Oreochromis niloticus: one gene and its partner. The main gene of each other region encodes a partner of the protein of the gene in region 2 in a complex. Links are inferred from orthologs where the notes say so. Each region holds a gene or a part of one and is shown on either strand. Other genes may lie near its edges.

Evidence for each region.
Region 1: the proteins of lin9 (region 2) and lin52 are in contact, whole or in part, in a crystal structure (PDB 6C48), measured with the Homo sapiens proteins. The link is inferred for Oreochromis niloticus from reciprocal best matches to the Homo sapiens genes LIN9 and LIN52. Residues at the interface, in NP_001353174.1 of Homo sapiens: Leu335, Gly336, Phe338, Phe342, Leu343, Ile344, Val346, Thr347, Leu349, Ser350, Lys351, Leu353, Met354, Lys356, Lys357, Ile360, Leu363, Arg364, Asn367, Thr368, Ala370, Glu371, Lys374, Ile382, Phe384, Gln385, Tyr388, Ala389, Val392, Leu395; in NP_001019845.2 of Homo sapiens: Asp61, Met64, Leu65, Leu68, Gly69, Leu71, Thr72, Thr73, Leu76, Met77, Val80, Leu83, Gln84, Leu86, Ala87, Leu90, Asp93, Glu94, Glu97, Met98, Arg100, Gly101, Leu104, Asn105, Ile106, Leu107, Glu108, Pro110.

Annotation. Positions count from the first base shown.
Region 1 is NC_031983.2:9,853,314-9,860,762, reverse strand, and holds the start of lin52 (protein lin-52 homolog), read left to right. Parts: upstream 1-4,442; coding exon 4,443-4,590; intron 4,591-6,651; coding exon 6,652-6,726; intron 6,727-6,811; coding exon 6,812-6,849; intron 6,850-6,948; coding exon 6,949-7,015; intron 7,016-7,204; coding exon 7,205-7,288; intron 7,289-7,449. Other genes in the region: pomt2 (protein O-mannosyl-transferase 2), read left to right, coding at 163-272, 375-441, 563-623, 738-816, 955-1,106, 1,188-1,279, 1,374-1,450, 1,540-1,611 and 5 more.
Region 2 is NC_031980.2:10,100,221-10,107,920, forward strand, and holds the start of lin9 (protein lin-9 homolog), read left to right. Parts: upstream 1-4,678; 5' UTR 4,679-4,791; coding exon 4,792-4,822; intron 4,823-4,909; exon of another isoform or gene 4,910-5,370; intron 5,371-5,724; coding exon 5,725-5,757; intron 5,758-6,035; coding exon 6,036-6,127; intron 6,128-7,277; coding exon 7,278-7,391; intron 7,392-7,700. Other genes in the region: parp1 (poly [ADP-ribose] polymerase 1), read left to right, coding at 609-692, 908-1,030, 1,140-1,268, 1,412-1,510, 1,652-1,804, 1,944-2,071, 2,170-2,231, 2,500-2,614 and 1 more. UniProt on the Homo sapiens protein: Acts as a tumor suppressor. Inhibits DNA synthesis. Its ability to inhibit oncogenic transformation is mediated through its association with RB1. Plays a role in the expression of genes required for the G1/S transition.

The DNA of each region.
Region 1 (7,449 bases), on a different chromosome or scaffold from region 2:
AATACAAAAAACATTATTATGTCAGTATAAAAGTTTTATTTTGATTGTGTGCATTATGTGGTTATGTGAGACATAAACAAAAAAATGTGTTTAATTTAATCTATTAATTTACATTTTCTTACGATGGTAGTGATCCTATGATTTGTTGTTTTTCTCATGCAGATCTGGCATTTGGCTCTACCGTTACAATAAAAAACCTCCGTATTGCTGGAGGTTATTTGCACTCTCATTGGCACTTATACCCAGAAGGAGTTGGCGCAAGGCAGCAGCAGGTCAGGCTAATTGTTGAAAACTGAAATATTTTATATATTTATATTTGTAGTTTCTTTGTTTTTTTAACTTTAAATGTTTTCTTATGATTTGTTTGCTTACAGGTGACAGCCTACCTCCATAAGGACTACAACAACTTGTGGGTGGTTCACAGACAACAAGATAATAATTGTGAGGAACTGACATTGATATATTTAACAATGTTGCCAAAGACAATGTTAAAATCCAACTAGGATAAGGAATTGTTGTTTTATTGTTTATATCTATTGTTTTGTTTTGTTTTTTAAAAAAGCTCAATCTGGCAACCCTGATCTTGTTCGCCATGGTGATATCGTTCGACTGGAGCATAAAGAGTAAGTATTATGAATGACAAGAAAAATGCACATTTTATTTAAAGTGATTCAGTCTCAGTTCCTTCCCAAATCTCTTTGTGTGTGTGTGTGTGTGTGTGTGTGTGTTTCTTTCAGGACAACACGTAACCTTCACAGTCACCTCCATGAGGCGCCTCTGACCAAGAAGCACTTCCAGGTTACAGGTTATGGCATTGTAAGGAAGGCTTTAACATAACATCTGCACTAAAAATACAGATTCAGTTGGACTTGACATATTTATTGCATATTCTGTTTTGGGGTTTTATGGGTGTTCTGTACACCAATACTAAAATTATTTTTGGTCTATTCTTAGAATGGCACAGGGGACGCCAATGACCTGTGGCAGATGGAGGTGTGTGGAGGTCGGAAGGGTGACCCAGTAAAGGTGCTGCGCAGCAAAGTTCGCTTTCTACATCGAGCTACCGGCTGTGTGCTTTACTCCTCTGGCAAAACTCTTCCAAAGTGGTAAAACTAGCATACTTTTAAATTTGAGATGACTTTGTACACAACAGGTCAAAACGCACTACAAATGTTGTTTCTGTTTAGGGGCTGGGAACAAATAGAGGTGACCTGTAGTCCCTACTTGAAGGAGACCCCAAGCTCTCAGTGGAACATTGAGGACCATATTAATCCAAAATGTATGATCAATTCATTCAATGTATTCCTATTTTGTGTTTGCACTTCTTGATGTCAGACAGCAGCTAACATGTTGTGTATTGTGTGTTCTGGCAGTACCCAACATTAGTCTGTCTGTGCTGAAGCCTAATTTTCTGGAAATCTTACTGGAGTCCCATATTGTTATGTTTAGAGTAAGTAATAATAAGAGAATAAATAAGCTCATCTGCTTTAAAAGAAAGTGCATCTTCATTTCTTTTCTTTTTATTTTATTGTCTTTTAGGGAAATAGTGGCTTAAAACCCAAAGACAATGAGATGAATTCAAAACCTTGGCACTGGCCCATCAACTACCAGGTGCATTACACTCTATATAAAATCTATTTTAGTTATATATATAAATATAAATTTATACTTTTTATCTTTTAACTTAATGTAATTTGTTTCCGTGAAGGGCTTGAGGTTTTCAGGAGTAAATGCGACAGAGTACCGCGTTTACCTGCTGGGGAACCCTGTAAGTTTGTTTTTAAGTTTTTATGCTTACAATCTCATTTAACCAGCAGATCAGTGTCCTCATGGTGAAAATGGTTTTCAGGTGGTGTGGTGGATAAATCTGGCCAGTTTGGGGTTGTATTTCACCATGGTGGCGGTGGCTTCCATAGCCACCCAAAGAGGTTTTTCACTGGGCCAACAAAGAATAGGTATGGTAAATAATGGTGGCTTAACAGTATGCTTTTGCATAGTGACTTTAAGTAAAGTAGTATTGTCCTGTGTTTCAGAGCATTCTCTTGTGCTTGTGAGAGGAGGTGGACTGCTGATGCTTGGTTGGCTCCTGCATTATGCACCTTTTTTTACGATGGGTCGTATCCTCTACTTTCATCACTACTTCCCTGCAATGCTCTTCAGCAGCATGCTAACAGGTACCAAACTGTGCTGGATTTCTGTATTCCAACTATAAAGTGCAGAGGGTAGTGCAGAGTTACAGAACTGAAGTAGAAGCCACACATAAGAAGCTTTTTTCAGCAGGTTTGGTGGGTGTAGCCAATACTTCACTTACAACTTACTTCACTTAATGGCTTGCATTAGAGCCGACAGTGTTTGGGACACAGTTATCTCAGTTTTGCATACTTGACTGACAGTTGTTGCAATTTTGGTTAAATAATTGTATTTTTTTCCTCCAGGACTGACGTTAGACATCCTTTTCAGAAGTGCTGACCTTCTACTCCACCCACCTTATTCTTATTGGTTCCAGCGAACTGGGCAGCTGCTGCTTCTGTTTAGTATTCTTTACAGGTGAGCTGAGTAGTATGAAGAATCAGCTTGTTCTTAACACTGTCAGAAACAGCCTATCATTACTGTGAGATATCTGCTACATAATGTAGTTCTTTATGATACTCCATCCATTGTTGTATACTTTGATTGATGCTCTTGATGCTCCTAATGGTTTAATAAGCCATGACGTTCTTGTAGCTGTGGATGAAAAGATTATGAATTATTAAAGGATTGTTATTGTTTTGTTGAGAATTAATGACAAGATTAATACCTACAGTCCATCATGATTGATAAATCATTTAAGTTAAAGGAAGCAGGTGCTCTTAATATGCTACATATTGTCATGTATATCATGTAGATGTAATACAGTTTTCAAGTTTGGATGGACTATCATACAGATATTCTAATAGGATTACAACTTTCTCATCTGGCTCTCAGCAAGAAGCTTCTCTGCTAATTCTTACTAAATATGAAAAGAATAATTACACTGAGGGTCTTACATGAACTTCTTGCTGCTGTGACTTTAGATCTCACAGCCCATTTTAGCACATGAATGAAAGTTTTTCATCTGCTTAGTGTAACTGACTGTGATCCATTCATTGTCTGTCAGTTTCTACCTGTTTCATCCGCTGTCCTATGGCATGACGGGTCCGCTAGCACACGAGCCGGGCAGCGCCATGGCTGGTCTGAAGTGGATGGACTCCTGGGAGTTCTAGTCTGCTTTGCAGGAAGATGACACTAATGATGTGACTTGCACCAACTGTTCTGAATATAAGGGACTTAAAACTGACAGAGTAGAGTGTTTGCACATAGAAGTGATTCTTAAAAGGTACTGATTGAATTTGTACGTGTCTTAGTATTTGTGTCACAGCATTTGCACCTGACGTTGTCTATCATGCATGAAGAATGCTTGATAAAGCAGACCTAACTCAATGCAATGTGAAAGCCAGATTGTGGTGTAAGTGGGAATCTTAACTTTGTCTCTGAGAGGCCTTAACTAACATCACAACTTCTGTTCCTAGATTTAATGTGTACTGTAATTCAAAACAATAAGCTAAAGTGCCTGAAAGGAAAAAGGTTTTAAAAAGTAAGTTTTAAAGGTTTAAATGCTACATGTCCCTGATTTTTGTTTTTTAAATTTTGTACATAGTTGGAAGCTATTAGACTGTATTTTGATTAGGGATTTTCTGATTTTACTCATTACTTAGTATTTTGGTACTGTACTTAGCCAATAGTGCTTTGTTACTCGCTATTTTTACACTAGGTACCGACTCTGTGTTTACATTTTAATGTGATCAATAAACAGTGATCCTGCATTCTGTATCTTTACTTATAAAGTTTTCTGCTTTTTTTAAGTTGAAGGAAATCTTTAAATTGTTTTTATGTTCTGTACAATAACATGAAGCATGTCTTTATTATTATATTGAGTTGAACCTTTTTTTATTTTACTGAGATTAAAATGATATTTTCAGTGTTGATAATTAAAATATGAATCACCACTTGAGATATCCCCAAAAGCTCAGAAATGTGTAGAAATCTGATAAAAGTCAAGAGTTCAAAGTATCATTCCAGAAATATCCCTGTAATAGCATAAAAAGTAATAGGGTATTGATTGTTTTAAAACATTTTTGTCCAAAATTTTAATTCCATAAAAATTATATCCAATATAATTACAAAAGGTCAAAATATCCTTAAATCTGAAAACTTTACACTGCTTGATATAGGTCCCCCTTGAAAATAATTACGTATAATATAATACATTGCTTTGGTCGCAGGTGTATAAACATATTCCTGTGGTCCCAAAGTTATATTGTTAGTTTAAATGTAGGAACCGAAGTCACCCCGATCAAAATATAACCGTCAGTTACTTAGTGTTCGTTGTATATTTTTTCTGATTTGAACTTAATACTGGGTTTATGCTCCAACATTATACCAGCGGGCCGCCTGGTGGCGTGTTTCTGAAGTACACCACATACACTCGTCAAATGTCAGAGCTGCTGCTGCCGCTGCCATTGGCTGTCGTTTATCACGTGATTATTGTGAAGATGGCGTCTCCAAATGGAGGTAAATTCTAATTCTTTACCCTGCGACGCTGTGTATAAAATGTAAAATTGAGATCTTTAAGCACATTAAACCGTTAAGAACTATAATCCTGTTTTAGCTGAAGACCCACAGACGACAGAATACGCATGTTAGTGCCGTATTTTTGCTGTTTGGACATGTTTTTCCGTTGGCTAAAGCCCTCACTAGCCCCGGCGTTCGGTCCAGTAAATGGGGAAGAAGAGCGGGTAGCAAGCTTGAATTCTGTCGTGTAGTCTGACTCACAGAGCTGAAGCTGTGGATGCTGCTAGCTAAAATATTAGCTGTTAGTTACTGCTGTACTACTAACAGGTTAAATCATCCCTCCTTAGACCAGTTTCATAACAACTACAGTGTTTTTGTTTCGGTTGTATTTCTTTCTTCTTCTTTTTTCTAACGTTTTTTTCTGTGTTGTACATCTCGTTACTCTTATTAATGGGAGCTGTGTACTTGAAATTTATCATTTTGTATGTTTAACAGTAAAGCGCCGTGTGTTTTAAAGATGACTGTAGACACTCACTGTTGTACCTCTTTCGTAATTTCTTCCATACAAATTGAGAGTAATTTGACCCAAAATTTAACATTGCAATCCATCCAATCTAGTCTTTGTGTAATTTGACATACCTCAGCCTTTTCTCCCCTTTTCCTCAAATGCACATTGCATTCTGTAAATATGCCAGGTTTGGGGGTAATAGCTCTTTGGGTTCCTTGATGTGCAAATGCTAATTTATATTGTCAGTCCGTGTTTCATTTGTCATTTCTTTGTAGGCTCAACTGAAGAAATTAGAGAAAATTATGTTTTGCAATTGGCTGCTAGTAACAAAGTGCCTAATACCTCTTGAGTTAAGTGATTTTGTATGCTTGAATGAATTCATAGATCAGTGTTAAGTGGCTTGACAAACAATCCTCTTAAAATGGTCACGTATTAATGATTAGGTGGAAAATAAGGGGAAAAGTAACAAATGGCCAAAGAAAAACTTTGAAATATCTTCACTAAATCTGGAGAACTACTGGTCAACACTGGTCAAAGTCTGGTTCAGTGGAAGGAAAATGTAAAGAAATGATGGGTGGCTCAAGACTTTTGCACTGTACTGTACATGGCATTAAACATGGAAGAAGATGCCTGGGGCTGTTAAAATAAGGTGTTATCACACGATTTGCCAGACAGACTGGCTCTGACCCAATTTTCTGCCTGTATTGTCACTACTGTGTGTAGGTCATGTTACTGCTGAGCAGATAATGGTACACAGTCAATCAGTGTTTGTGAAAGTTTGTGAAATACATTGCTGGAAAGCTGGTAAACAGCCCAGCATTTTCCACTTTTTATACAATTGTGACATGCTGTATGTATACATAGACAACTTCATCATCCCTCGTTAATTCTTAAGGCTGTTACGTCCCTGTAATTTCACTGGATGGATGGAACACCACCATTCTTACTAAACATAGATCCTTATCTGTTATTTTTTAATGGAGCGCCTTGTGACTTATAAGTCCAAAATAAGGTTTAGTGACTGTGAGTACCATAGAATTTGATATAGATGGGACCATTGTTATTCTATAAAAGACAACTTGCATCAAAATAGATTTTTTTTATTATATGATAAAGGTGATCATTCAGCACAGCTATGTATTGATTTTAGGAGACTCATGTTTCTCTGAACAAGCCACTTATTCAGCATTATTCAGTGTTGCAGGGAGAATGGAGCCTATCACAACTGTCACTGGGTGAAAGATACCCAGGGATTTTTTTTTTTTTTAGTAAAGATGTTTTTCTTCTGTGAAAATCCATCCATCTATTTAGTGCCACTTACATGTTCAGGGTTGTGGGGGAGCAGTCTTAGCAGAGATGCTCAGACCTAGCTCGTCAGATGCCTGTACCACCTGAGCTGGCTCCTTCTGATGCAGAGGAGTAGCAGCTCTAAGGGAACGCTGAAACATCATTTCACGATGTCATTCTTGCATTTGTTGCCCACAGTTCATGCCTCGTGGTTACAGTAGGAACTTAAATCTACTGGCTCTAATTTGTTTTCTTTGTCTCGATAGGTGATGATTTTGAGTCATCATTGCTGAGTTTTGAGAAGTTGGATAGAGCATCCCCAGACTTGTGGCCAGAGCAGTGTAAGTTTATCTCCTGCGCCTATGTGACTGGTTACCGTAGCATTTATTATGCATAAACTTTATTATTCTCTGATCTCTCATACAGTACCTGGAGTCGCAGAGTTCGCTGCATCTTGTAAAAATGTGAGTTAGATTCAATATGGCTGAGTTTGAGTTACACATTAGAAACATAAATAGGCTTGTCACACTTCATGATGCGTGATCTGTAACTCTTTATCACAGCCCATCTGCAATTCACCCCCAAAATGGATGTCAGATCTGGAGAGTGAGGATATTGAAATGTTGAAAGGTTGGTCCAAATAGCCAAAATTATGTTTTTTTTTCCCAGACAGATTTTTCAGTTTACTTGTTACAGTTGGTGTTAAACAGAAAGACTGGGGGACAGAGGCAGACTTACTATATAATCCTGTCAAATGGGTTAACATTTTGCTGAAGTTGGGTTAGTGCTTTTATTATGGGTCTTATTATCCTTCTGTAGAGCTGGGTAGCCTGACCACAGCCAACCTGATGGAGAAGGTCAAAGGACTTCAGAATCTAGCGTACCAACTGGGCTTAGAGGAGTGTAAGTAAACAAACAGCACACACATGCCAGTGTACAGATAATCCAGCCTTTATACCTTTAAAATCACTAAGAGTTCGAAAAGGATGTGGTCACATGTTACCACTAGATGGTGCTCATAGGCCTCTCTTGGGTTTTGCTTCTCTGTCTGGAAGAAGTAACTT
Region 2 (7,700 bases):
TGCCCGATGTGGTATTTACTTCACATTTTCGCAAGTTCATTCATTCAAGTCAGATGGATAAAACATTTGCAGTATACAGTAATATTTTGACTTAGAAGTACAAATTTAAGAAGTATATTAAAAAAAACAAAAAAATCCCGTCTGATGCTGTGGATTAACGTCTGGATAAATAAAAATGTGTTTTAGTTTTTGACTTTTTAGGCTGTTGTCACAGACATAAAAATAATTTACTGATGTTTAAGAAATTAAACAATTTAAGGAGAATACTCGTCTTCATTCACAAAGAGAACATTTTAAGTGCTTTTTATTTTAGCAGCAGATTAGATAACTCTTCTAATGCAATTAGTTAATTTATAATGATGTTAAGTGCTCTGTGAGCATTACTACTTATTATTATTACCCTTCAGCTGTAAAAGGCTGACCCTGCTCGGGGGCGGGGGGCAGCTGGCATAGAAACACAAGGTTGTGAATGTGATAACTCGAGAACAAGGCAACATACGATTTTGAAACTGATACCATACGGACCTACTAGAATACTGAGGGGTAGCACTGGCATCCACCAGTATTTTTGCACTTGACAGGCTCATTTATTCTTCTTCTGTCTACAGATTGACCTCCAGAAGATGCCACTTGGTAAGCTGAGCAAGAGGCAAATCCAGAGTGCCTATGCTCTCCTCACTGAAGTACAGCAGGTCAGTGACAGTCAACAGCTCCTCTGAGAGTTGCATGAGTATTTATGTTGGATTTCTCTTTATATAACTCTGTAATGCTTTGAAATCCATTTTAATACTATCGTTTGGCATGAATTTTGGACATAACAACTAGTCCTTGTGTACCAGTGGTTGGATGAGATCTGTGCAGCTCCTGATCATGCAACATTTACATTTTTAATTTACTTTTGTTAAAGGCTGTGTCAGAGTGTGTGTCTGAGGCGCAGATACTGGATCTCTCCAATCGCTTTTATACTCTAATACCTCATGACTTTGGCATGAAGAAGCCTCCACTGCTCAACAACCTGGACTACATTCAAGTAAGGACTCATAAACTGCCCAATCTAGAGTTTGACCTTTCTTTGTCATGTCGCCGCTAAGCCTAATGCAGAGTTTAAAAAGGCTGATCTTTAATGCATCACTGTTTAGGCTAAAGTTCAGATGTTGGACAACCTGTTGGATATTGAAGTGGCTTACAGCTTACTGAGAGGAGGAGCCCAGGACAATGAGAAAGACCCCATCGACATAAACTATGAGAACCTCAAGACAAAGATTGAGGTAAGGAGTACGGCTCTTTAGAAAGTAAAGTTTTCTTCTTAATCATCAACGGTGTGCAAGGTTTCATTTTTGCCCTGATGATCGATTTAAGTTTTGACATTTAAAAACAAAAAAATGCATGTAACACATCTGTTGTTTTACAGGTTGTTGACAAGACCACAAGTGAAGCTGAGATCATCTTGCAATACGTTAAGAACACCCACGCTGCTACACACAACACGTACACACTGGAAGTACAAGAGGCAAGTCTTTTTTTTCTTTTTCTTTTTTAATTTATTGATTGATTAACTTGGTAAAAACGGGTTTAAGCAGGAAAACCGCTTCATTTTAATGGTTAGATTTAGAAACTTAGTTTGTTTTCTGATTGTGTTTCTGTATTTTAGATATTTAAAATTGTCAGAGAGGGAGAGCACCAGCGATATCGTCCATTCGAGGAGCTTCACAATCGCCAGCTATTGTGGCACGGCTCTCGCACCACCAACTACGCCGGTATTCTGTCTCAGGGTCTCCGCATTGCCCCTCCAGAGGCCCCAGTGGTGGGTGTTGTTTTGAAGCCAGCTTGATGATAAGATGTGAAGAATTAAAAACCTCTCCTTTAATAAATACCCCAACTTTACCCATAGTTTCTAGTGTTTAGTCCTGCATAACATTACAGTCCTGCTTAATTTTCTCCAGACTGGTTACATGTTTGGCAAAGGTGTGTACTTTGCTGACATGGTGTCCAAGAGTGCAAACTACTGCCACACCTCCCAGTCAGATCCTGTAGGCCTCATTCTGCTCGGCGAGGTTGCTCTAGGAAACATGTAAGTGACGGTCTGAATGCAAAAAAATATATATTTCATCCTTTGAAATGTTGGCCTGACTGTGTAAATAAATGCAACCTCCTTTTTAATTAATGCAGGCATGAACTGAAGAAGGCTTCTCATATTACAAAATTACCTAAGGGCAAGCACAGTGTTAAAGGTGAGAAACATAATGGGTTGCAACATTTTAATTAGTATTATTTTTCTTAGTGTTTGGTTCACATGGCAAACATTGTGCTTAAAGCTTTATATTTCTGTTTAGTCTGTGTCTCTAACTGTAATTTAGATCCACACTTCTCAGCGTAGTTCTTAACAACGCGATGAAATTCATCCCACCAGGAAATATTTACCTTTGTGTCTGTCAGTTTTTAAAACTGCGTGTGTGTGTGTGCATATAATAATATTCACTTTGGGTTTTTTTATTCCAGGTTTGGGTAGAACTGCTCCCGATCCAAATGCCACTGTCACTTTAAATGGAGTGCAAGTGCCTCTGGGAAAAGGAGTCCACACTAATATTGATGACACAAGTCTGCTGTACAACGAGTATCCTCTAATATTAGTTTGTTTGGTTATATGTGTAATGATTTTTTTACCTGCTTGTCTGTACATAACCTGTGCAGTTAAAAGGTGAGTCAAATTTGTTAAATTTCTATCTTACAGTCAGCGGCCATTTCATTAGGTGTATCTGTTCATTTGTCATTAATACAAAATCTAATGATCCGGTCGCATGGCAGCAACTTGGTGCATTTACACGTCAAAGATCAAAGAGAGGTTTACAATAGGGAAGGTAAGTTAAGTCACTTTCAACATGCAGTACAAATAAGGTATAATTAATAAAAGGCCAGTGAGTTCACCCATGGAAACATAGTTTTATAGCTTTCTGTCTTTTAATAGGTGAATATTGTCTAACCTACTTTTCATTGTGTAGCTCACCCAGCTGTCATGCATAAATCGACTCATTTACACTGCTTATAGGAGTGAAGACATGAAGATGAGACAGTTGAAGGGTTGTGTTTATGTTCTAACAGCAGTCACCACAAAATAAATTGTCAGGGTATTTGTGTTTTCAGCTTAATTTGTAACTTTTTATTTTTTGATCATCTGTGCCACCTGTTTTCTTTAACCGTGCTCCCTCAGGTACATCGTGTATGATGTAGCACAGGTAAATCTGAAGTATCTTCTGAAGATCAAGTTTAACTACCAGACATCCCTGTGGTGAGAGGGGCTGCGTACGAACCTTCTTCATAGAGAAAGGAAAAAAAAAACCACTGTTGCCTCCAAAATGCTTGGGCTTCATTCTCTGCAACCGAAGATGTTTAAAAAAAGGAGTGATACTAAACCGTCCTTCATGGTGGATCCTTGGAAATCTCTTGTCACTTTATTGTGTTTTCGCCAGGTTTATTAAGTGGCAGACTTCCTTTGTAATACATTAGGTACCTAAATACTGGCTTCTTCACATTGCATACATCAGTACATGGAGAGGTCTGGCGATAACTTCAGAAAGTGTTGGTAATCTGTCACTGGAGAAGGATCTTATTTTCCTGTAGTTCATAAGGTATAGTCCTGCAAGTTTAGGAGTGTTCAAGAGCCAGTCTGCAAACGTACACAAACCAATAGTTTGCTGTGAATCCACATTAAAGTGAAGACTAAGATACTGTAAGCATTTTGACATGTATATACTTGTTTTGTTCGCATCTCTAGCTGTCTTCCTCACTAAAAAGTAAAAAAATGTGATGCAAGGCGCTCTGTAAAAGATTAAAACAGCCATACTAAGTGTTTACGTTTTTTTTAATGTCTTTTCCTTGCTTCTCTCAAACCCAAATAAAACGTTAGACATGAAGAATTACATGTTTTTCCTCATTCCTGAAGTGTTTCTTTCAGTTTGTTGAAGAAGGCAGAAATCAAGGTCAGTTGCTAAGGAGCACTTCTGGGAATGGTCTAACCTTGATGAAAAAGCAGGCTTTGGCTTGATTTTGGCAGGACATTTAAGCATTAGAAACTGTTTTGCCTCATTTCCCATTGGCACTGAAGGGTAACAAAATGAGTTAATATGCAAAAAACCCAACAGGATTTTCTGTATTTAATGGTACCAATTTATGAGCATACTAAAGTGGAAAAATTGGAAGAAGAAACTTACACATTCTGTGAGATTAGAAACTCATTTGCACAAATGAGGTTTTTTTGTAGTTTTTCATCTTTTTTTTCCCCTCACATCTAAGAAAAAGATTCCAAATGTATTTGGGTATTTATTCATTAATAGATAAATGCAGTATCCTATGCTGTCTTTTATGTTGTGTATAGTATACACAAAATCCTTCTAGGTATAACTGCTGGTAAAAATAAATACATTTACTCAAGAGAGAACATTTCATTTCAAACACAACACTTTCCCAACAATGACTAAAACGTAAAGGAGAAATGAACGATAAAATGACTGATGTGGCGTCTGAAACAATGGCTGGCTGCTATGCTCCCATTCCGAGTCAAGTTTTTCATACGAAACGGTTTCCCAAGCATTTAACTTCACATTTAACATGTAAAAGTTGGATGTGTAGAAAGTGAATGTATATGTTTAGATAAACAAACGACTGGAAGCAGTTCTTAAGCTACCGTTTAAGCAAATTACGGGATTTTTATTTCTCAAATCGCCCTCCAGATAGAGTCCCGACCCAGAATGCATTTTGACAAGGTCTTTGAAAAAGCGGCGCGGCTAATTCAAGATGGCGGAGATGGACCAGCTGTTAGACGAGAGTGAGTAACAACACAAATTCAAGGAGTTTTGCATTGTAAACAATCAGCAGTCCCGCAGTGATAAAATACATAACTGGCCAAAATCCGATATCGCTGACCATGTAATGGCTATCATAGGTTCTGCGCGGACTTCATAAGCTCATTTTAGACGCAAACAGACACCGGGTCTGTCCAAGTCAGCTAACGCTTGTTAGCGCTAGAGGCTAACCATGGCTAATGTTGGAGTTGAACAAGTTACTTTAGCACAACTGGGTGAACAAATAACGTTAGCTTAGCCCCGAGCTAACGTCTGCTAACCTTAGATCGCGAACAGCAGGAACAAAAAGGCTGCCGCTACGCCACTAGCTGCTAACAAGCTATCTGTTTTGCTGGACTTATTTTTTATTTTACTGATTTATTTTAGTTTTCCATGACACTTTCCTCATTTTCAGCGTTCCTTTACCCTGGTTATAGTTAAGCTTCATGTATCATTATTGATCTTGTGTAGGGAAACTTGCCAGTTCATTTGTCTGTTTACACCTGAAACGGTCGCTGGGAACGTACCTAATGTAAATAACGTTATTTTACAGCTCATAGCTTGTCTGGCTCGTGTGTCGATACAAATTGCCCACAGCTGATGTTACACCCGTGTCTGACAGCTCCAGTTAGGGGTAAAGGCCTAACCGAGTGCGCTAGCTTTATTTTTAATTCCTGTTCACCTGCCTGGCTGCTGTCAGTGTTTAAAGCACCATCTTACTGGTTCTGTGACAGCTAAAATGAGCGTATCGTAACTTAAAAAGGAGAACACTAGCAAATAATATTTATCAAAGTTGCATGCGTTTTAGATTTAGTCTATGTGGTATTGCTTTTTTATGCTTTTTAATGCTCTACAGTAATGTAGCCTAAATTGTCCTCTTCCTCAGGTTCCTCAGCAGAGGCACTCGTCAGTCTTAAAGGTATGGATTCCCTTGTATTTATGCTTTTTACTGTTTACAAATATACTGGGTGTTTCTGTAACGTTGACTCTAATTCCTCACTATATAGATTAGATCTGTGTCAGATCACGTTGGTCAGAGTTCTGTAATAGTTTCTAATTGCAAGCTTACAGGGCATAGTGGTCCTGTTATTGTTTGCATGTGATTTTGTCTGTTGGCAAAGGTTTGTTAAGATATAATTACTGATTTAGAAACTGTTTTTGGTGTTCTTGTATATAAATATGTTGGTATTCTCACAGAGGGCAGTTTGTCCAACACTCTGAATGAGAAAAACAGCTTCCCACGAGCTCACAACACCAGGGGACGGCATTCCTCTGTCACAATGGACACGGTAAGAGAATGCAATGAAAACAATGAAAACTTCGAAAACACAGATAATCTATTACACATGATGCTTTAATTACTAATATGAATAATAAGGTATAATGGTTAACATAGTCACCTTACTGCGTAATTATGCTTCAGTGGGAAATTTGTGCCATAGCTATGTCATAACAGCAAATCCCTCTGAAACCCTATGAAGAAACCCTAAGGCATGACATGACGCACACCTCCACTGAAATGGAACTAAATGTGGCGTTAGTGTAAGCCGCAGCTATTGTGATTGGCCTGTTCAGTATCGCTGATTCCTCCTGATGCATTTCCGGTTAAGTTTTTGGAACGTTTTGGAATTTATCAGTGAAAGAATACCAATCATGTCAAAGCTGCACCAGATAAAATACTATCCACTGTGGTGACCCCTTGGGAAATAAGGGAGTAGTTCAGTGTATATTTTCTTTCCTTTTAGCAACCAAGAAGTTAATTGTTACAATGCAGTATTGTAATACGGTGTTTGAAATGAAAAGAAAATCACAATTTCTTTTTGGAAAATGAAAAGAAAGAACGTCACTTCATCCTATGTGAGAGAGCAATGGCCAAAAATGCTAGTGTATTTGGAGCAGATATTAATTTTCTAAAAAGTGCCACGTCGAATTACAGCTCAATAGAACCAAAAGAAAGCTTAAAGGAGTGGATATTTAAATAGGGTCTGTTTCATAGATGGCAGTAAGCATTGTGAATCATAAACAAATTAAGTGGTTCTTTCTCACTATGGATATATCGTCAGTGTTTATGCATGGTTACCACCCTTTGCTTATCTTACCAGCATAGTTAAGTCTTTTGGCGTTTTGTTTTCCAGCTCAGGAGTTGAATTTTTTGCCTCTTTAAGTTTGTTATTGTCAGTGTAATGGAAGGAAGGACTGGAAGGAAAATACATTTCATCTCATTTTGCATAAATGGGGGTCTTTACGTTTACTTAGATATTGTTTTAGAACCTGCGTATTATACATGAGAGTTCCCAGAATAACATTTGTTTTAGCCAGGCTATTTATAACACAACATCCCAGAATTTCTACTGCTAACAGACACCTAATATGGAGAATGCAATAATGTTACTTATAGATTGTTGGTAATATTTTGAATTTACATTTTTTTTCTTGCAGCCTACACGGAGCTCGAAGCGGAGCCGTTTGTTTCGAGATGAAGATGAGCCACCGCAGCAGCGTCTTCCGTCCAGATCTCCACGGAGGAGCCAGAGAGTCACCACCACACCACAGGTAATGATTGCACTCTTCCTTATGATCGTGTATATTGCAGTTAATACATTGTCCTGGTAATGCTATGTGACGAGACATATAATACGTGGGTGTTTAAAAGCTTTTGTAGCCTAAAAGTTCAACTTTATTAGAGGATTGTTTTGGTCCAAAAAATTATGTGTTTATACCTGAGCTGTTTTTGGTATGGGGGTCAACCTTCAAAAAGTTGAACATCGACCTTTGCTGCAGAATTACATGTAGTATTTACTGAAAGATTTATTAGTGTAGCCTATTATAGGAACTCAAGAGAGAATCAAGAGCATTGGTTTA